Caenorhabditis elegans: one gene and its partners. The protein of the gene in region 2 purifies or fractionates together with the protein of the main gene of each other region. This does not show direct contact. Each region holds a gene or a part of one and is shown on either strand. Other genes may lie near its edges.

What was found.
Region 1: the proteins of tpxl-1 (region 2) and rsa-1 purify together in Caenorhabditis elegans (affinity purification with western blotting, with the first as the bait; one study listed by BioGRID). This does not show direct contact.
Region 3: the proteins of tpxl-1 (region 2) and rsa-2 purify together in Caenorhabditis elegans (affinity purification with western blotting, with the first as the bait; one study listed by BioGRID). This does not show direct contact.

The regions. Positions count from the first base shown.
Region 1 is NC_003279.8:10,183,832-10,188,701, forward strand, and holds rsa-1 (Serine/threonine-protein phosphatase 2A regulatory subunit rsa-1), read left to right. Parts: upstream 1-2,024; 5' UTR 2,025-2,046; coding exon 2,047-2,146; intron 2,147-2,195; coding exon 2,196-2,365; intron 2,366-2,412; coding exon 2,413-2,524; intron 2,525-2,571; coding exon 2,572-2,660; intron 2,661-2,711; coding exon 2,712-2,938; intron 2,939-2,985; coding exon 2,986-3,087; intron 3,088-3,130; coding exon 3,131-3,248; intron 3,249-3,302; coding exon 3,303-3,386; intron 3,387-3,428; coding exon 3,429-3,641; 3' UTR 3,642-3,719; downstream 3,720-4,870. Other genes in the region: iars-2 (isoleucine--tRNA ligase), read left to right, coding at 1-101; clec-87 (C-type lectin domain-containing protein 87), read right to left, coding at 815-998, 1,048-1,414, 1,465-1,615; Nucleolar protein dao-5, read right to left, coding at 3,941-4,099, 4,148-4,870. UniProt on the Caenorhabditis elegans protein: Regulatory subunit of phosphatase let-92 which recruits let-92/paa-1 complex to the centrosomes, thereby regulating microtubule outgrowth from centrosomes and mitotic spindle assembly ensuring the stability of kinetochore microtubules.
Region 2 is NC_003279.8:2,297,581-2,306,315, reverse strand, and holds the start of tpxl-1 (TPX2 domain-containing protein), read left to right. Parts: upstream 1-1,922; 5' UTR 1,923-1,923; coding exon 1,924-2,068; intron 2,069-2,116; coding exon 2,117-3,156; intron 3,157-3,202; coding exon 3,203-3,289; intron 3,290-3,341; coding exon 3,342-3,490; coding exon of another isoform or gene 3,491-3,518; exon of another isoform or gene 3,519-3,682; coding exon of another isoform or gene 3,683-5,596; intron 5,597-5,749; coding exon of another isoform or gene 5,750-5,851; intron 5,852-6,146; coding exon of another isoform or gene 6,147-6,203; exon of another isoform or gene 6,204-6,230; intron 6,231-8,396; coding exon 8,397-8,499; 3' UTR 8,500-8,735. Other genes in the region: icp-1 (Inner centromere protein ARK-binding domain-containing protein), read left to right, coding at 1-685, 737-1,417, 1,472-1,600; epg-2 (Ectopic P granules protein 2), read right to left, coding at 3,683-5,596, 5,750-5,851, 6,147-6,203.
Region 3 is NC_003281.10:11,061,320-11,069,910, forward strand, and holds rsa-2 (Regulator of spindle assembly protein 2), read left to right. Parts: upstream 1-2,159; 5' UTR 2,160-2,236; coding exon 2,237-2,355; intron 2,356-2,409; coding exon 2,410-2,459; intron 2,460-2,553; coding exon 2,554-2,802; intron 2,803-2,853; coding exon 2,854-3,233; intron 3,234-3,769; coding exon 3,770-3,972; intron 3,973-4,056; coding exon 4,057-4,285; intron 4,286-4,449; coding exon 4,450-5,508; intron 5,509-5,518; exon of another isoform or gene 5,519-5,606; intron 5,607-5,707; exon of another isoform or gene 5,708-5,779; intron 5,780-5,834; coding exon 5,835-6,302; intron 6,303-7,237; coding exon 7,238-7,333; 3' UTR 7,334-7,440; downstream 7,441-8,591. Other genes in the region: spat-2 (Protein lilliputian), read left to right, coding at 491-522; W09D6.1 (AMP-dependent synthetase/ligase domain-containing protein), read left to right, coding at 7,539-7,732, 7,779-7,881, 7,963-8,108, 8,211-8,400, 8,567-8,591. UniProt on the Caenorhabditis elegans protein: Recruits rsa-1 and, thereby, phosphatase let-92/paa-1 complex to the centrosomes. Recruits sys-1/beta-catenin to mitotic centrosomes during the first embryonic cell divisions.

The sequences.
Region 1 (4,870 bases), 7.9 Mb from region 2:
AAAGCCGGTTGCGATATTGTGAGAGATGCCGGAAGCACACTCGGAATGAAAGTGATGCTCTATGCGGAAGATGCTCAGATGCGATGGGACTTTCTCGTTAAATTAGATGATTTTTGTAGAACATTGTAATTTGATTTATTTTAGGAAAGTAAATGTTTTAATTTAGAGGCGCCACGTTTTCAAGATCTGTTCAAAAACAAGATTTACGAAAACAAGATCCACCAAAACAAGATCTACATTTTCAAGATCTACCAAAACAAGATCTACGTTTTCAAGATCTGGCACCGTGCCAACTGTGGTTTTCTCGAAGAAAACCAAACAACGATGCTCCGATGTTACGCGTCGCGTGTTGTTTAGCGTTCAAACGAATATTTTTTGAAATTTTCTTCTAGAATTTACGCTTAGCAACACGCGACGCGTAGAGAAAACCGCAGTTGGCACGGTGCCAGATCCTGAAAACGTAGATCTTGTTTTGGCGGATCTTGTTTTCGTAGATCTTGTTTTTGAACAGATCTTGAAAACGTGGTGCCTCTTAATTTATGTTTGCACATCAATTTCCCGAAACACCAACTTCTAGCAAGAAAAACTTGACGTCATGCTCGACTTGCTTCAAGCAAAAGAGGTCCTCAGATAGAAAACAGGATTTGATGTTGAAAATTTATTTTCCGATATAAATACATAACGTCTCAAAATTTATAAAGTGAGTGCAATGATTGTCAAACGTAAGGGGGATGGAACCCGGTGACAAATAATAAACGATTAGTTGTGGATGATTGTTTACATGATTAGATTGGTGTCAGAAGTACAGAAGGCTTCACTGCAACGCGTTGACGATGGTCGAATTGCGTTCACAAATGGAGTACAGCATATACGTGCACGGGTAGAAGTACGTGTATGATGCCGATTCCAGGGATGATGGTGATTTGTAGCTGGCAGCACAATTGGCGAGTGATGACCAACCGTTGAAGAGTGGCTTGTATGGTTTGATGAGCCAGTTGCTGAAAAAATTAAATTTAGAAGCAATCAATTGTTGTTGACAAAACCTACATTTTGGTTGGATTGAGAGCTCCTTCAGTCTGCCATCTTGGCAACTGCTCCAACTTCTCGTAATGGGTGAATCTGACAAGTCCGATCCACGAAAAGAAGGCTTCCTTGGCTTGAACACGAATTGCGTCCCACTCTTCAATCGAATTGGCCACGAACAGTGTTGACTGCTTCTCGAAGCAATTTCTCTCGGCCTTGGCGAATCCAAGAAGCTCCTTCTCGATCCAGTAGCACGAATCGGCGAACCGAAGCCATCCATCGGGACACTTCTCAGTCTGATTGACGAAGGCTGGCGGCTGTCGAGCTGGGAACGAGATGTCTTCGAATGCCGTTGTGCCGAGATCCTTGTAGTCCCAGTTGTAGAACGTCACTGAAATTTGTTACTTTTAACGAAAATTTAAAGATTTCAAAGAAACTTACGTCGTTGATGCGGCTGTTCGTCGTTTTGAACCAATGGTGATGTTTCTGGAGCTTCACCACTAGCTTCAGGAAGCTCGGTTGAAGAAGTCGGAGCTGCATGAACGAGGAATAGCCCAGGAAGGATGAAAGCAACGAGAAGGCAAAAACGCATGATGAGCAGTGAAGACTGAGGAAATGAACGTTTCGTTCTCCTTTTATGCACATTTTTGCCGCCGTTTCCTGAAATTTTCACAAATGCGCGCCGCTAATAGACAGAGATCAAATAATAATTTCAAAACAAATCAAGTCTAGAAATATCCTAAACTTCATTTCTGAACTGGTGTTATGAATTTGAAGCACGGATGATGGTTTAAATGTTCTGTAGCACACTGCAGATTTTCATTTATGAAAATATTTAACTTTTAAAAGGGCAAGATCTTGTTTTAAAAAATTGTAATTAATTTTGAAAATTATATTTTGAATAGCCGCCCTTGATATTAACAAAATATGCAGTGGAGCGCACTTAATGCGCCCATTTTCAACAGAAAATAACGCTCGAGATTCGAATTCAATTCTCTCCTCCCTTGCAATTTTCGTGTCACTATGCCAACCGACGAACCTTCGAAGCGAAAATCCATTTTACCAACGATTCCAACATCCCTGATGTTGAAGAAAAGTAACGAAGCATTGAGTGACTTCGAACGTGAGTTGGGTTCAGCGAAAATGTATTATTCAGCGGTATTATCTTTCAGGAACATTTAATGATCGAGTTATGGATATATTTGCCGAAAATCGAAGAATAGATGTAGAGGAGTTTAAAAAAAATGCCGAATGCTTTTTAAACATCATTCGATCGAACAAAATCGATTTAAATTGGGGTGAAGGGGGAGAAAGTAGATATGTGACGATAACTCGATTAATGGTAAGGTTCTCGGTGAATTCAATAATTAAGAATGTGCAATTATTCAGAAAATACTCAAAACTTCACCACAATCAATCAAAGATCTACTTCCACATAACACAGTGTCGAATTTCGTTAAAATAACCAATTATAATTTAACAATTGATATCACTCTTTTAGGTTTGTGCAAAGCAGGGAGTTCTTATTATAAAGAATTTGAATTTCAGAGGAGCTTGTACGAACAGTCATTCACGCTGAGGAGTCCTACATCAAACTTCTTCCATTTTCAGAAAATAGCACAGAGATTTCCAGTTATGTAAGTATCTTATTTCTACTCTAAAAGCTATTATCCTGACACTATTTTCAGAGTCTCCAAGACTTTGTGGCCACACATTTTATTCCAATTATGATTGAAGAACCGGAAAATCCTGTCTATTATACAGCTTACGCAGTTGGAACAATATTTTTCCTATTGGGTGCTCGACGGCGAGACTGTGTATATTTGAAGGATTTACTTGCTTCAACACTTCTACTACAACTCGAAGAGTGTATTCATGCAGAGAATCATTGCTTATCACCTCCGAAAATTGATGTGTATGATTTATCAGTGCCATAAATTGCTTCAAAAAGTCTTTTTTCAGATTCACCGTCGCTCAATTTCGAACCACTTTATCAGAATTCCGATTCCTTGACTCCCAACGAAAGGGATTGTTGGCGCCAGCGGACTTGAAATTTTTCAGAGAGTATGAAGAAATTATTTTTCAGTCTATAAATCCTATTTTTCAGCGGAATCTTCAATGAGGTTTTCACCAAGCGAATCTTCGAAATTTCAATAACCTATGAAGATGGACGTATTGATTTCAAAGCGTTCGTTGATTTTGTCACCGCTCTAAAGTTCCGTCATGTAAGCGATTTTTTAATCAGAACCAAAAAATTGTTCTAAAAAATAAATTTCCAGACCACTGCCTCCGCCAAATACCATTTCGAAATTCTGGATCTAAAGGATGATGGACTGTTGGATGAGGAAGAAATTCGATCAATAGTGAGTAAAACTCTCCAAGAACACTTTCTCATCGCTTAAAAGTCATCATTTCAGCTTCAAAACCTGCCAGATTACGTCCCGGAAGATAATAGTGTGAACCCGGAAGTAGCAACTGCCGAACTGAGAGATATGATGCGTCTGAATCAGAATGGAATTACATTGGAAGAGTTTCTTGCTAATCGGATGAACTCGACGTTTGCTGGATTCCTCTCCAATTCCGATGATTACATGAAGTACGAACGACGCGAGCAATAGCAGTCCCGCTAATTTTATTTTTAAAACTATTCTAACCACTCATTTCGGCCTGCAAGGGTAATAAACAGCTTTTGGACCAAACATTTTATGGATGAGACAAGAGGGAGAAAAACGGAAACATAACAAGTTATATTTGAAGTAACAAAAGTATACAAAACATTTGTTTTGGATCAACTCAGGATTATAAATTTAAAGGGGAAACAAAAAGGAAAGCAACAGACAACAGATAAAAAACGAAGTGTAGACGGGGGTGAGAAACAATTTTGGAAACAAATTAACTTAAGGATAAAGTTAAGAAACTAATCGTCAGAGTCAGAGAACTTGATAGAATTAATAGATTGGTTGATTGGACCACCTCCGTAGCTTCCCTTCTTCTTCTTAGTTTTCTCATGACGGAATGCTTTTCCAACAACTTTTCCTAGGCTTTCATTGGCACGCTGTCCCCATTGATCGAAGTGCTGAAAATAAATCGAGTTAAACTTTGTTCGTAGTCGCTATATGTTTACCGAATCATGCTGGTTGTTTCTAAATTTTTCAGAAACGCTATCCTTTGTCATTTGCACGCGTCGGAATGGTGAAGACTTTCTTTTTCGGTTTTCATAGACCGCCTTTTCAGTCGAGGTAGCCAATGGTTTTGCCTTCAAAGCCGGTGTTCTTGAACTGCTCTCCTCGGTCTCGGCGGATTCTTCAGAGTCAGCACGTTGTGGTCTTGGAGTGACAGCCTTAGATGGTTTTGGAAGATCTTCGTCGTCATCAGAGGAATCAGAAGATTCAGCTTTCTTTAGTGCAGTCTTTGGAGTTGATTTTGCTGGTGTGGTGGCAGACTTCTTTTTCGTTTTCTCATCATCCGAAGAATCGTCTGACGATGAAGAGGCTTCTTTTTTCACAGCGGTTTTTGCAGGTGTTGACTTGGCTGGTGTCTTCTTAGCCGGTGCCTCGTCATCAGAAGAATCATCGGATGAATCAGCTTTTTTGGCAGATTGCTTAGGAGTAGCTTTTGGTGTTGGCTTGGCAGTCGGCTTCTTTTCATCGTCAGAAGAATCATCTGAACTTGAAGCCGCTTTCTCTTTTTTCGGGACAACGTTAGGAGTTTGTTTCACCACTGGTTTCTTTTCATCATCGGATGAGTCCGAAGACGATGCTGCTGCTTTCTTTGTAACTGACTTCGGGGTGACTTTGACAGGAGTTGCCTTTGTAGGCTTCTTCTCATCATCGGATGAATCAGAAGA
Region 2 (8,735 bases):
CGGCTCAGTAGCGACTGATGGTGATTTCGAAGAGGACATATTGCCAGTCACGTTGAAGCGCATGCAGCAAATGAGCATATCCAAAAAGAAGACCGAAGGAAGCATCTCACGAAATGCAGCGTACAGTGGCACTCCTCGCAGAAATCCACCGCGTGAGGCTCACAATCAAGCTACTCCGCGCAACATTTTCTCGTCAACACCTGGACGTATGGCAGGAACTCCCGGCCGTGCAGCTGTGGTTCCAAGGACGCCCCATCGTGTGATTCCGTTCAATGATGCAGAAAAAGATCCGAATGCAAGGATGAAGCATGCTGATGAGCTCCGGATGAAAGAGCTCGAGAAGAAAAGGGAGAAAGCACGGAAGGACGAGGAGAAGCGGAATGCTGTCATGGAGCGCAGAAAAGAGCAGGAAAGAGTTCGTCAGGAAAAGCTCGACCAGTTGAAGCAAAAGGAAGAGCGTAATGCTAATTTGGCGAAACTTCACAACAGTGCAAAGTCGCCAACAAGAGCTCGTTTGATGCAAGACCATGCTCCAAACAAGGCTGCAAGTAGAAAAATCTTCCCAACGGCGGAAAGCACATCCACTCCTGGTCGAGGCCCTGCTAAGAAGGGAAAAGTTGAGATTCTAATTGGCTCAGATGGACAGAAGACTGCTCCTGTGGCTCAGCCGACCGTTGAACTATCGGTGAGTATTTACTTGATTGTATTTTCCTAATAATAATTTAACTCATTTCAGCCTTCCCGAGAATTGCAACGAAACGGTAGCCGGCAAGTCAAAATGGAGCCGATGAGCTGTGATGATTCAACTCCACCGGCGCGTCAACATAAACCAAAGGCGAAAGCGACGAAACGATCGGCCCACGCAGCTTCGTCTTCTACATCAAATGTTGAAGCTGCTGCCGCACTTGCCGCTCTTCAGGAACAGCAACGTATTCAGCTGGAACAGGAGCAGTATCTGCTACAGTTAGCAGAAGATGAACGACGAAAGCGGGAGCAGAAGGAAATGAAAGAGAAAGCGGAGAAGGAGCGTCAACTCAGAGCTCGAGAAGAGCAGGAGCATTTTCTGGCCGTTCAGAGAGAAGAGCAAGCTCAGCTGGAGAAGCAAAGAGAGCGAGAAGAGGCAGAGCTCCAGGCAACACTCGCAAGATGCGCGGAGAAACAAGCTCGTCAGGAAGCTCTTCGAAAAACGCCACCACCTGCAGCCTACGAAATGACTCCGCCACGTACCTATCAAAACAACTCAAAGAATGACTATGGTTTGAACGATCTTAACAGTGATGACGAGACAGATCAAGAAGATGATCCACGCAAAGATGTCCCGGCTTGGGCCGAATTCGCAGTTGTCCGTGAGAATGTCAGAAGACATGCCATTAATCCACCATTCGACGTGGCTCAATTCTTCGGATCGATTGGAAAGGTAATTGTTTTTTTTTTCTTGCAGCTCCTTCAGTAAAAATTTAAAAATTTTCAGCCAAATCTAAAGGAAATCTTTAGTGATGCTGTCAAAGTCAAGAAGCGCGGATCGTCAGCAGTGTGGAAAAAGAGTCCATCAACGTTAAACACGTCGTCTCGCACAATTCTTCAAGACATTTCGGAATGATGTTGTACCGAAGCAGCTTACATCGCCAGGAGTCGCTCCAGCATGCGACATAATCTTTTTTCAAAAATTGTAAAATGTTTTTATATTTCGTATTGAGTTATTTTTTATTTTCAATGTTTCCCCCTTTTTAACGGAGAATACAAAAACTCCATCGGCCCTAACTTTACATTAAATTTTTTTTTCGCTGTAAATAATAATTCTTCAGCCGATTTTTATTTTATTGTTCACTCATTGATTAACGTGTTCTGAATTCACGAGTTTATTTATTTATTTATTTTTCTATCAGTTAGAATTCAAATTATCATTTATTTCTTTCTTATAGGATGAGCAAAAGTCAAACCATTCAGGAATTCGATGAGAATTTCTTCAGCAGCTTTGCTGTACCGAAAGTCAAGGACTATTCGAGATTATCGAGCTCGCCGAGCAGAGACCAGCCGTGTGAGACGTCATACTTCGAAAATCACTTTCGTAAGACTATTCAAATATTATTTTTCATAATAAAGTTTTAATTTCCAGCAAGCCTGGAATGCGACACGCCGGTCAAAATGCAACTTCCCAAGACGAAGCGGGAATCCGATGATGATCTCCCATCTCCAACTATCGATAATCTTCTTTCGTCTTCATCGGAATCCACTGTAATCAACGCAAGTCAAAATGACAACACAGAAGAGAAGCAGCAGCAACCAATCAGAGAACCACTCAAAATCGTGCCAAACGAGGACGCATCAGCTTCAGGAAGCGGTGGAGAAAATCAGCTAATCGAGGGACTTGAGAAATTGTCAATGTTTGCACCAAAAGCTCCAGAGGAACGTCTTTCGCAGCGTCGCCGTTCAGAGCAGAGAAAGAAAGAAGAGGAAGATAAGAGGACATCCGTCATTGCTCCAGCGTCCGGAACTCGTTCTCGCTCGATCAGCACGAAACGTTCAATGTCGCGTGAGCCAGCTGCAGCAGCTCCACGAGCACCATCTGTGCCACGTCCACCTCACAATTCTGTCACTCGCACCATCTCCGCGCCAATTGCAAATACCGGACCAGGTGTCATTACTCGTGCGATGGCTGCTCGTGTCGCTGAAAATGTCACCAAAACAAGTGTTCGTCGAAGTGTTATGCCTCTCAAAGTGGCTCAGAAAACGCCGGTTGCCGCAGTAAAATCGGATGCTGCTACTGCAGGAGGTGACAGATCCCGTGACCGTACACGCCGTACCAATACAACGGCTTCTCGTCGAAGTGTTTTCCCCAATAAGCCTGCTGCTGCTGCAGCAAACACCACTCCAATTGCTCCACCGCGGCGTTCGGCATCGGCGAACAAGGCAACAGCGCCGACGTCGGTGAGCAAATTGACGCCGAAGATTCGTCCGATTGCAACAGCCAATCGCTCATCGATTCTTCGAATGAATGTTGTGAAGCCAACTGTTCCGGCTCCGGCTCCTGCTGATGCTCAACAGAATAAAGCGGCTTCACGTCCTGCTGTTCCAGCTGGTGGAGCAGCTCGTAACCGGCAGCCGCTTCGAGTCAACCCGGGAACTCCGAGCACAACGATCAAGAAACCACCAGTGGTAATTTAAAAAATTTGCCTAATTGTTTAATAAATCGAATTTCCAGGCTTCATCCGTACAACGCCAGCCGCCGACTCGAGCTCGGTCAGTGGACCGTTCTGGCCAACCTCCAATTTCGGCTTCCACTCCAGGGGTACATTTGTGCAACGTTTTTTTTTCTATATATATATTTTTTGAATTTACAGAAAGCCTCCCGTGCTGACCTTTTCAACAGACTTGCCACACCAAAGGTTACTGCTACGCCAACGAGGACTTCACACGAGGGCCCAGCGTCGAGTATCCGAAAATCTGCTGTGCGCCCTGTGCCATCATATGTGTACAGCTCCTACAAAGGGTATGAGAAGAAACGATGGATTTATTGAACTCAAAATTCTTCAAAAAAGGAAAAATTGATTATTTAAACAGAAAAAATTGTAATAACAAATTGAGAACAATTTAGGCGGGCATGAAAGACAAAAACAATTTGCAATGTACAGTAAAGTGTGCAATTTAGAAACAAAAACGAACAAGAAATTAATCAAAATTGTTATTCTTCGTCGACCATCTCCCATTCAGCCTTCTCTTCCGATTCCGTTGATGCTTTCGGCTCCTCGTCGAGTTCTTCAACTCCCAAATTATCCACCAACTTCTTATGAGCATCATTCAACTGAACAATCTCTGCATCGTGAATTCTCTTCGTTTCGATTGCAAGTTCTGTGTGCTCGCGAATGGTTTCCTGGAGTTTGTCAATTGTGGTACGATCCGAGATTCCTTGAGATGTCAGAACGCGACAATGATTGCCAAGAACATTGTATTGCTGTTTCATTGATACCATTGCAGCTTGGAATTCGTTAATCTCGGCATTTTTCTCATCTGTTTCCTTCTTAAACTGGGCTTGAGTAACCTCATTGATCTTTTTTAGCTGCTCGATTTCAATAGTGGCGTAATGGAGACGTTGTTGGATTCCGGATTTCGCATCTTCCAAGAGTGCTACTTCAAGTTTGTGATGTTCAGTCAAATTTCCAATTTCTTTCTGAGCATTAGCTCGAGACACTCTGAGTGCAATACATTCTTCAGAAACGAGAGTCATTTTGCTTTCTAAAGCCAAATGTGCGGTTCTGAGATCATCTTCGGAGCTCAAAAGCAAACTGCACTGGTCTCTCAAGCTTTGATGAGCAGCATTGGATTGCTCTAGTTCGTTTCGTACCGTCAAAATCTCATTGGCGTGCTTCTTCTTCCCAGATTCCAGAGCCATTTGTCCTTTGATCAACTCCTGATTAATTGCCAACATATGATTGTACTTCATATTATCAATTTGCTTGGCGTACTGTTGATGCACAGCAACCATTTTTGCATCCATCTCACTCTGCATCTGGCCTTTTTCGATGTCCCGCTCCTGAATTGTTGTGCTCAATTGTTCGCGGAGACATTCACATGTGCGATTGACATCTTCTTTCTCCTCCTTCAAAATTTTGAAGTCCTCCTTCAGATCGTAATTCTCCATTCTGAGCTCCATCAGTTCGGTTTCAGACTCACGGAGCAACTCAATCGTGTCACTGTGCTCGCTGGAAAACGCAGCAGCTTTATCACTGCCAAGTTTGAGTTGTTCTTCAAGATGAGCAATGACTGCTTCATCCTGTTCGTGTTCGTCCTTTCTGAACTGTAAGCATTCACCGAGTCTTGCAATTTCATCTTCCAACTTATCGCGAAGATCTTTGTTGAAACTGGTCACCGCTTCTGTAACTTCAGCTTTTTCCTTCATTGCCAAACGAGTAGAGCCAAGTTCCAGGCGAACATCGGACAACTCGTTGAGCAAAGCTCTAATTCGGTCAGTCAATTGCAATCGTTCAGAGTCAAAGTAGTCATTTTGACTCTTCAACTTTGTAATTTCAACTTCAAATTCATTCTGCTTGACCTTCCAGTTTTCCTTCATTTGATGGATCTGCTTCAAGGTGTCTTCTCTTCCATACATCAGATCATTCAATGCAGATGTGAACTCCTTTGTCTGCAATTCCAGTTGAAGCGAAATCTCGTCTTTCCGCTCAACAATATCTTTCATGGCAATATCTTTTTCACAAACTTCACGTTCCAGCGTCTCAATGCGGCTCTCGTGCTCTTCGTTTTCCGTTTGGGTTTTCTCGAGCTCCTCGTTACAGTTATCCAATGCAAACTGGGCACATTGCCGAATCGATTCCAACTCGTGACAATCTTTTTGAAGTTTTGTATTCTCATCTGAGATCCGCGTAAGAGCTTCTTGAAATTTTTTCGAGTCGCTCAACCAGATCTTTCTGAGCTCCTCTTTCATCTCTTTCAATTCCAAGTTTTCGGCCACAAGATCTCGGTTCAAAATTTTGAGATTGTTTTCTTCGGAGGTCGTTTCTTGAGCGGACGATGCTTTTTCTTCGGCTTCGTCAAGCATGATCTCCAATAATGTGGAGTAGGTCTTGGCTTCCACGTTTTCCTGAAAAATAATAGGTTTATAGCTTGAAAAATTGCAATTTACTAATTAATTAAGTTCCATTAATTCTATTATTAGTTATATTAAGTTAATTAATTTCATTAATTGAATTGATTTTCTCAATTCTCTAAATAGTGAATTGAATAAGTTGCTCACCTTTCTGAGAAGCACAACTTCGTCCTTCAACAACTGGTGTTCTTCTTTTTCCTCAGCCAGCATTTTGTCCAAGTTTTGAAGTGAGTCTTCAGCCAATTCGATCTAAAATATAAACACTTGTTCATGGCACATTCAACTATTTTCAAAACTCCAGAATTCATTGAAAACACGTGGTGTCAGAGTGTCTCATTTCGGCTTGATCTACATAAATCTACAAAAAAATGCGGGAGAAGAGACACAGAGTTCTCAACTGATTTCGCATGGTTAAGAACATATTTTTGTGCAAAAAATTCCCGCGTTTTTTGTAGATCAAACCGTGATGAGACAGACTCTGGCACCACGTGTGAAAATGGATTTTTTGTGTCTCAACAGAATCTAGAACAGCTCAAATACTTACCGGCTCTTGATCCTCTGCTGACGATGAAAAAACTGTGACAGTTCTGTTGGCACTCATTCTTTTGAAAGCTGTTGAAATTGAGATCTGCAAAAAATATCGATTATTGAGAGATGTGTTACACACACAAAAATTAATAGTGAGACGAATGACAAGGTCACCATAAAAAATATTCGAAGAAGGAGAAAGAAAGCTTGCGAGGCTGTGAGAGGAAAACGGCGATCAGGTAGAATATATAATTCAGTTGTTAGGCATTGTGTGGTAGTAGCTAATGACTGAGAATTGAATGAAGAACCCGAGAAGAGAGGAATGAATAATATGAAAGAGAGTGAAAAAGAGAGAGAGAGAGAGAGACGAGAGATATGGGTGGTCTCGGGGAGTGAAAGAGGGAGAAATGGCAACGGTTTGGATAGCTCGACGAGAGCAAAAGAGACAGCCTCTGCATAATGCTCTGCGCTCTCTTGCTCTCTGCATATTGGCAGCGTCTAGCCACCGAGAGATGGGCCACGGTAAAAAGCGAGAGAGAGAGAATGGTCCGACTGATGTAATGTACAGGCCAAGGTTACAATGTGGATAGTTGTGGAGGACTGCGCGTTTGGTTAGATGCGCCACTAGGGCGGGGCTGCTCTGTGTTTGCTCTCTGGAAATAGCGTTGTGTGAGCAGAAGAGGGAGATTTGGGAAAGTCGGGGTCACGTTAAGGGTCAGAAGATGATGTTAAGATTGGGGAAGGGGTGAACAGGTGAAGTGGAAATAGTATTGAATGACTTTTTGGTGGTCTTTGATGTCGAGAAAACAATGGATATATATGACAATCTGGAAGATTTAGAGCATTACATTACAGAAATTCAAATTTTAAAGGTGGTGTAGTCGAATTTTTTTATTGTCTTATTAGACTCGATATTCTCTCAAAACACCGAGTTTCACAATGAAACTTCTTGAAAACTTTTCAGAAAAAAGTTATGACGGCTCTAAAAATGGCCTAAAATTAGTTAAAATCGGAAATTTGACCGACTTGTCAATGTCGCAGTGGCTGGAAATAATTTTTTTTGATATTACCGCCAAATTTTGAGTATACAAGTCGATTACCTCGCGTTTTAAACGAGTATTTAAAAATCGATGGACGGCGAGTTTTGGTTAAAAAAATTAAAAATCAAAGATTTTTTAATACCTTAATCAAGTTTAAAACGTAAGATAATTAACTTGTATACTCAAAATTTGGCGGTGATTTCAAAAAAAAATTGTTTCCAGCTGCTGCGACATTGATAAGTTGGTCAAATTTCCGATTTTAACTAATTTTAGGCCATTTTTTGAGCCGTCATAACTTTTTTCTGAAAAGTTTTCAAGAAGTTTCATTATGAAATTCGGTGTTTTCAGACAATTATGAGCCTGATAAAGCAATAAAAAAAATTCGACTACACCACCCTTAAAAGTGGGAAGTTAGGAAAAGTTATAGGATTTCGAGCTAATAAGGAATGTAATCAGTAGTTTTGTAGGGCAAAATTAGGTGCCTACAAGGCAGGCATAATATGCCTCGAAGATGCCTATCGATAGGCGATGAAACATTTATCTGACTACATGAAAACCTAGAATTGTAAAATTATTTTTGTTGTCTTAAAATGATAAAAATATAGTCTAAAATGACTGGCTGGAGTAGATAAGATTCTTCGATTTTTTTCATAGAAAGTTTTTTAAAAATCTATAGAGATGTAATGATAAAATTCAATTTTTCATCAAGTTTTGTTACTAATGACGGAAGAAAAATATCAGAAAACAACATCTTTTCTAAAAAAAAATGGCTAAAACTTGAGCCATTTTTGCAAAAAATGCTATTTTTCTGAAAATCGAAAACGAAAACACAATTCCGACAAATTTCCGGTTCGCCGATTTCCCGAAAATTTTCGTTTTCGGCAAGTTGTCGATATGACGGCAATGTGCCGATTTTCCAGAAATTTTCATTCCGGCAATTTTTCGATTGGCATTCGATTGGCACCTAGTAGGCATTTTGTGCCTACATGAAAACCTAGAGTTGTGAAAAGATTTTTTCGACAAACCGGCAAATTGCCTAATTTGACGACAAACCAATTGCCACCCACCCCTGATCTGGTACAAAAAATAATTTCGAATAAAAAGCATACATTTTTGAACTTTTAAGATTGGCAATGCTAATTGTAAAAAATTTGGAAAAAAAATACCAAAATATTCTAAACAATTCTTTTTTCAAATTTACTAATTACTAATTAAAAATTTTCCAGAATGCCATCTGCCGGAGGTCTTCACGGAATTCGTGCTCCATCAAAGGATCGTTCGACTCAGAAGCCACCAGCAGCAGCTTCTACTCCACAATCGAAGCAGTAAACGAATGTACATATGATCGTTGTCGTATTCCAATGGGACCAGCTTCATCTTCACCGCGAAAATTAATTTTAAAAAAAATATTTATGATGATTCTCATTGATTTTTTTGTCTCATCCCACCCCCTTATACCGTATTTTTTCTCTTCTTCATATCCATAGTTTTTGTTGAGCTATCTTTTCCCGTTCACCTTTTCGCGCGCGCGCACTGATCTACTAGTGTTCATTATTTCTGACTAA
Region 3 (8,591 bases), on a different chromosome or scaffold from region 2:
TTCTACAAAAATGCAAATTTTATCTGTTTTCTTCAAAAAAAAATTATTGGAATTTTTCAAAAAGCTGTGCAATTTTTTGAATTTTTCCTGAAAAAATGAGAAATTTTCGATCGCTAGCAAAATCGCTAAAAAATAACTAAATTTTCCTTAATATCTCTGCGAATTTCGAAAAAAAATTGAAAAGTTCTCTTAAAATTCCAAAAAATGGCAAAAAAATTGGAAATTTATCCTAAAAATCCCAAAAAAACTTGAAAAGTTCTCTTAAAAAATTCCAAAAAACCGAAAAATTTCTCTTAAAAATGCCAAAAAACCTTTTTAAAATCTTCAAAAAGTCCAAAAAAAAATTGAAAATTTATCTTAAAAATGCCAAAAAAACCGAAAAATTATCTTCAAAAAGTCCAGAACCAGAAAAAATTGGAAATTTGTCCTAAAAATCCCAAAAACTTGAAAAATTCTCTTAAAACCCCAAAAATAATCCAATTTGTTTCAGAGCCCATCACATTCGTCCCAAAGAAGAAATAAACGTCTAATGAATCAATCGAGAATTCTATCGTTGATTTTGTTTTTTTGTTTGTTATTAATTATAATTCCTCTCTCCAATCATAATCATCATCACCGCTCAATCATTTTTATATATGAATTGAAATATTTTTAGTTCTTCCTTCACTTTTGCCTTTTTTTTTTGTCCCATTGCTTTCCCCTCATTCAAAAATATTCAAATTTGACCCCTTCCATCCAATTCTGAAAATCTTTCCCCCACACAACAACTCTCTCTCCAAAAAACAAAAAATCTCTCTTCTCCTTACGTAATTCTGGTATAATTTCCCTGTTATCATGTGTTCCTCTTCGAAATGTTGCGAGTTTTTTTTCTTCCATTTTTTTGCCCCCAAGAATTCCCCAATTTTGTGAAATATTCCCCCTTTTCCCCCGGAAATTTTTAATTTAAAATTTGGCGATTTTAATCGAATTTTCAGGCAAAATTTGTTAGAAAATTGAGATTTTTGCGGATTTTACATTTTTTTTTTTTAGTTCATTTTCAGCTGAAATTATCAAAAATTTCGAGTTTTTAGCCAAAATTCACAAATTTTCATACGATCATCCACTATTTTCTAAGAAATTCTGAAATTTGGTAGATTTTATTTTTGAGTTTTTAGCCATTTTTCAACCAAAATTTGGGAATAATCTGCAAAAATCTGAATTTTCAAACAATTCTAATAAAATTTCAAGCTAAAATTATTAAAATTTTCCAACTTTTTTTCCTGAAAATTTCAAAAAATGTGATTTTTTTTCAAAAATTTCCCAAAATTTCAACAAATTCATTTTCAAAATGTTGAAAATGAAATATATATATATCGGGTCCCCCGTTCTCTGTTTAAGTCACAATTTTCATATCTCTCCCGATTTTTAAATATCTTTGTGATGTCTCACACACATAAGCCCCGCCCCCGTTTTTAAGCACCGCCCATTTCATTGCCTTTCTCCGCCCCCCGTTTTCTACAATTTTTCCCCGTTAAATTATACTCCGCCCCTTTCCTGCACACATTTCGACTTCAATATTCATATTATTATTATTTTCAATCCCAATTTTTTCTTTACTTAAAATTTTCGTGTTGACTCCGCCCCACCGCCCCCAAATTGTCTGTTTGTTTAGAAAAAGCCCCCGTTTATATGATTTTCCGCTTTGGAATAATAAAAGTGGACGTTTCTTTGTCTGGAAATTACAGAAAATTTTGAAATCGGATAAAAATTGCAGACCGCGCACGGAAAAGTGGGCATGTCCTACCGGTTGCAAGCGTGACGCGCGCATTTTTCGGAACTGAAATTTTTGCGAAATGTAGGAATCTCGGTTTTCGAGCGAGTTTTTATCGAATTTGGGTAATTAATAATAATAATTGGTTTCAAAAATGGTAAAAATCATTTTTAGTTTGAAAAATCTGATTTTTGACTTGAAACTGTTTAGAAGCTGTATATTTAATAATTTATCAATTTTATACTGATTTTTAAGGGTTTTCAAGTTTTTTTTCCCACTTTTCCGCTATTTTTGACCCGAGAATCCTGTAAAATCTGCAATTAATCAACAAAGAAACAGCAAAGAAAACCCTGCGTCTCCTCGTCTCCCCACACTCTCTCGCCGTCTGCATTTTCGCGTGACGGTGTTTGCACACACTGGCGTCGCCGCGAAAATATTCTTTAATTCAAACGCGAAATCAATTTTTCGCACTATTTTCCCCGCGTAATGTCGAAAATTCCTGTATTTAAGGGCAGTTTCAAGTCGTGGCTCGCAAAAAACGACGAAAAACCCGCGAAAAGTGTGCTCCTCGAGCCGAAATATCGCGATCACCACGAAAAAATAAGGTAAGCAGGGGGAAATTCCCCATGGCAACCATTTATTTATTTTCTGAGTTTCAGAAACAAGGAAAACATGGAGGAAGGCGAGAAGCCGGTTTTTGTATCAATGGGTAGGTTTTCTTTGGGAAAAAATTGGGGAAAAATGAGGAAAAATGGTTTTTTTGAAATTTTTTTGTTAATTTAAAAAATTTTTTAAATTTCCAGCAAACCCCCAACCAACACGAGAAGACTACGAACGTTACGACGAAGATCGTCGGCTTAAAGATAAAGCTCGTGATCTACGAATCGCCCGCCGCCGCAACTCCGCAACCCCAGAAGCCTCCCCGTCCAGCGATCAATACTTCACACCGGAGCCCGCCGATGACGAATTTGTCACTCCATCCACGTCGAAAAAGTCACAAAAGCCACGTAGCAGTGATGCGACGCCGGTGTCTTCAAAACCGCCAAGATATTGTAATTTTTTGAATTTCTTTCAAAAAAAAACCTAATTTTCATAATTTTCAGTGCCAAGAACCCCGTTATCAGAGCAATACACGTCTTGTCTGAGCCGGAAAATGGAGGAAAACTTTTCAAGAATGCAGGAGCTCATGATCTCCGGCCACTCACCCCATGAAGCCCGTCAGCAGACGATTCAGGAGAGCTCGGAGCAGCTGGAGCCCAGAGCCAAAGTGACACGTAGCTCATCCCAACCGCCACCGATTGACACTTTGAAGCCGCGTGTGCCACGTATTGAGTCGCCTTTGGTGAAAAAAACCACGGAAACACCGATTCGTCGCACCTCATATGTTGATACCCTCGTCGCGACGCATCAAATTCAGCTACAGTATTCGGATCGAGTTGTTGTTGGTGTTGAACGTCAAATGACAAAGCTGGAGAGCATCAAGGTACAGGAATTGGAAAATTTCTCGAAAAAATCAGTAAAACCCGATTTTTCCTGGGGGTTTCCGCCGAAAAATTGGATTTTTTTCGCCAATTTTGAATTAAAAATCCATATTTTTCGCTCGAAATTGTCAAAAAATGAAAAAAACATCTGTATAAATTCACATTTCCCACCGATCGCATAATGCAAGTGCGCTCTGATGCGAATTTGACATTGGAGCGCAGTTGCAACATGCGATCGGCGGGAAATTTTAATTTTTCACTCAATTCCCAGATTTTTGAGCAGAAATCACGTTTTTCTGTCAATTTTGAGCTGAAACTTACTGTAAATGCGCTCCAATGATAAATTAGCACCAGAGCGCAGTTGCAGCATGTGATCGACAGAAAATTGAATTTTTACACCGAAAGACTTTAAAATTCTAAAAAAATAAAATAAAAACACACACTTACAATTAAAAATTAATATTTCCTACCAAAAATTTGCTGAAATTTGAATTTGCGCGTAAAATCGGATGTTTGATCTACATAACCGTCGCCAAAGTTCTTACAGAATCTCGCGGCCGCTAATAGATCACCAATAATTGCTGAAGAGGCAAAAAAACGACGAAATGAAGCAGAGGCTGTACGGAAACTCATAGAAGTGGAGACGCAGAACGCAAAAAAACGGGCGGTCATTCAGGAATTAAAGGATCGAATTGATAAGCTTACTCAAGCACAATTGGCTATACATCAACTCGTTTCAAGGTAGAAATTCCAAGAAAAAATTTGATTTTTTTGCTCTTTAGGCTCCGCGCCCATATCTTGGCTTCTTAAGGTTTTTGTTTACAGCCAACCATTCTCCGGCGATCCGTACAATCAGCGGCTTTTGCGCTCCATCGACAACTGGATGGCGTTGCCGTTTCGCGAATTCGACATTCAAACCGCCCGTGAAATGCTGGAATTGGCGCGAAAAATGAAGATCACAATCGACCATTTTCGAAATGTCGCCACGTTGCACAGAAACAGCAAAAGTCTCAATCGATCACTTAACACGAGTCGAAAGAGCATAGCTGTTAAGGTAAATTAAGCCGTTTTTTGGCAAATTTCTTTTAAAAATCCGCCTATTTTAAGAGAATTTCAAATCGCTTAAAATAGGCGGATGAAACCCCGCCCCTTTATTGGCTAATTTCATAAAAATAGGCGGATCTTTTCAAGAAATCTCAAAAAATCTGATTTTTGTAGATCAATCCATCATCACAACTGAACCAACAATCATCGTCGGACGCAGCCCCGCCCCCTTCAATGAGAGAAGCATCGACACAAATGACGTCACGGCTCGCCGAGTCTGCAATGACTCAGACGAGTCCCCGAAGAATTGGTGTTGAACCGTTGGATCTTTCACAATTGTTGGAGAAACACAACTCGTCCTCGCAGACTACACCGCCTGTGGTTGAACCGGTGCTGGCCGAAGTTTCCGCCGAACCTCAGCGGCCACCAGTGACACTTTCGATGACGGCGCCCGTGTCGACGATTGCCGAGTTTGATAGTATGCTCAATAGCATTTCACTGCACAATGAGAGCCTGGAGACTGTCGCCGAGCCATTTTCCCGTCTGAAGACTGATATAAGCTTCCCGTCCACTGTGGAAGAGACGACGCCACGTAGTGGCCGAGTTTCTCTGGATTCAGAATCGGCGCGGCGACTTTCTGCAGGACTTTCGCACTATTTGGAGCAAGTTAAGAAGGAGAGAGAATCGATGGAAGCTCAGGAATCTGAATCTGAATCCATGGAATTGGAGATTCCCGTGGTGTCTGAGGTATCAGTCACTACAGAATCAGAGAATCTGGAGGAAGTGGTTTCCGAGCATTCTGATTCCAAATCCCCGGAAACTCTAGTCGCTTCAGACAACGGAGAAGACTCATCCGGTGGATCGGAGGACCCGAATGCTACACAATTTGAGCATGAAATTGAGGAGCACAAAGAGCCCGAAAAACTGGGCCTAATCATAGATCCGGAGGACGAGCAAGACGAGACGAAACGCTTTGTGAATCACGATGAATTCGAACAGAGCCTGGAGGAAGAGCTGGAGCCACGTGGCAATAATGATAGCGCTGACGATTCGGGATTCTTGCTTGACAACTCGCCGGCACCGCGGCTTAAATCGATTTTTGACAATTTGCCGCCGGCGGCGGCGTCGGCAGCAGTGACAGATACACCAAGAGTGCCGGCGGAAGCCGATGAAACGACGTTTGCTGGAATGGATATGGAGGAATATTGTCAGCGAGAGTTCTTGAAAGAGATTGTAAGTGTGTAAAAAAGAATGGGCCGAACCGGGGATTGAACCCGGGACCTCTCGCACCCAAAGCGAGAATCATACCACTAGACCATTCGGCCGCGAAACTTTGCTTCCCAGGAGGCAAAGACATGATGCACCATGTGTCAATTTCTGCGGAATTTGTTCAACAGAAATGTCTACACACCCAAGAAGCTTGGGAAACCGTGGCCGAATGGTCTAGTGGTATGATTCTCGCTTTGGGTGCGAGAGGTCCCGGGTTCAATCCCCGGTTCGGCCCATTCTTTTTTGTTTTCTCTTATTACATCTAAATGTTTAATTTCGCACTTTTTCAGAGCCCAATAATGGTTCAAAAGGCAATTGAGCTTCAGGACGAGCTCCGCGGAGTCGACTGGCTTACAGCGCAAGATGTTTGGCAGCCACCCTCATTTAAAGATGTTCAAATGGAGTTCGACGACAATTTCGAGTATTTCGACTCGTTTTCCATACTTATTTGGAGTGCGGTGGTGGATTTAATCAATAAAAACTACCTGAAATTTGGCCGAAAAATGACTGAAAATGAGGAAATCGCGTTTGAAGCGGAGGCGTTGAAAATGCTCCAAACCGAGCACGGACCCGAATCGAGAAAATCGGAATGGTGCACCGATGTGAAAATGAGCAAGAAACTTGAAGGAATGATGCCAATGGAGTTGGATTATCGATATGATGTACGCCGAGGTCTACCGGACGCCGAAAAACAAAAATATCAATGGCAACAAGTGCAGATGACAGTTATCGCCGCACGTTATGCGAATAAGAATTTGGTACGGAACGTGAAAATGTGAAAAATCTCACAAAATCTCACAAAATCTATACAAAAATCGGAAAAAAAAGCGACGAAAATTCAAAATTTCGGTGAAAAATTTTGGCGGGAAAATTCAATTTTTTTAAAGAAAATATAGCTTTTTTGTTTCAAGGTGGAGTGCTCCCAGTGGGGAAATTGCTTTAAAGCATGCCTATGGTACCACAATGACGGAATATCATGATAAAAAATTCAAAAAAAATTTCTAGATTTTATATGATTTTTTGAAAATTGAAAAAATCTCCGTTTTTGCCTAATTCCTTTTTGAATTTCCGCCAATTGGATTCATTCGGTGGAGCGCACTTGCATTATTTTTATTAATTTATTTTATTTTTTTCTCATTATTTCACTGATTTTCTTCATTTTTGGTGTATTTTTATCGGAAAGATAAAGATAAATGCAAATTGTTTGTTTAAAAAATCACTGAAAACGGGTAAAGCTTTAAAACTATGAGTTCTGACGACAACAAGCCTGAAATTAGCATGTTTCACAGTTTTACGCATTTTCAGTGATTTTTTAATGAGCAATTTGCAATTATCTTGCATTTTTCTTTGTCTTTCCGATAAAAATACACAAAAAATGAAGAAAATCAGTGAATTAATGAGAAAAATAAAATAAATTAATAAAAATAATGCAAGTGTGCTCCACCGAACGAATCCAATTGGCGGAAATTTAAAAAGGAATTAGGGGAAAACTGAGATTTTTCCAATTTTCAAAAAGTCATATAAAATCTAGAAAATTTTTTCGAATTTTTTTATCATGATATTTGGTCATTGTGACCCCATGGGCATGTTCTAAAGCAATTTCCCCACTGGGTGCACTCCCTTTAAAAAAGTTGCCTAATTTTTTTTTAATCAAAAATCGATTTTTCGTTAGTTTCAACCATTTTTCTCTCAGATCAACGAAGCCAACGAGGTATATGCGACGGAAAAGGAGAAGCTGGGACAAATGGTGCTGGAATCTGAAATCGACGCGACGGTCACCGATGTTTAGGCTTTTAATTAAATACTTTTTTCGCCTATTTATCACTATTATCGGCAATATCATTCATGGTCTCTACTATTCTACTAGCTATTTTATGAACTATTTTATTTATTGATTTTTATTTTCACACACACTTTTAAGGCGAAAAAGCGCTGAACATATACTGGAAAAATCGATATGCCGAAAAATTCCCAAAAAAAAACATTCACAGAAAATGACGGAAATCAATCGGAATTTGAAAATTATCGATGTGGGTTGCAACGCGACAATTCCGGCGGAGGATATTTTCGAGAAAATCGATAATTTCACGGAAATTCTCAGGAATTCAAATTGCCGCGCGATCACCGGCTCCGACGTGGTTTTCATATCGATTGAAAGAGGTCTCGACGCGATTGTTGCCGTTATTGCGTAGGTGGCAATCCGCCCACTCAGCCAGAAAAAATCGATTTTTCAGATGCCTCCGACTTGAGCTTGTGTTCACATTTTGCCCGCCGGCGAGCGATACTGATGACGTGGTGCGGAAGTTTCGAACGACGCTGGTTTTCAACGGAAAACATGTTAGTGCTACGTGGTGAAAAAATCGATAATTTAACAAAAATCAATAAATCCTCAAAAAATTCAATAATCTGACATTTCAGGTATCTAGGATCGCTCAAAACGATGAGAACGGACTTTTAGCGGCGGAGAGCATTTGCTACGTAATTCAAACTAGCGGGACTACTGGAGCTAAAAAACAAGTGGCAGTTCCAGTTGACTGTATTCGCAAGAATATTGAGCATTTTTGGTGAGGAACTCTCCGAAAATCGATAGCGATTATCGATTTTTATTCCAAAAAAATCGATAAAACAATAATTGATTTTTCGTTAATTTTATAATACTTTTCCAGTTCGCTCTTCAATCTAACATCATCGGATTCCATCCTTTTCTCAACTTCTCTTCATTTCGATCCTTCAATTGTTGAACTTTTCATGGCTTTTCACGTGGGATGTACATTAATCATTACACCTGATGAGTATCGAAGTGAACCTCACAAACTTCAAAAATCAATCGATAAATTCCAGCCGACAGTGGTTCAGGTAATTTTCGGAAAAATCTAGCTGCGCCGATGGCTGTGCAAACTGTTTTTTAGCACCGCCGGTGGCTGCGCAAACTGTTATGCGGCAGCGCCGGCGGCTGCGCAAACTTTAGTTTCAAAAATCTAATTCAAAAATCAATAAAAATCCAAAATCAATGTTTTTCCAGTTAACCCCAACGGTATTCGAGATGC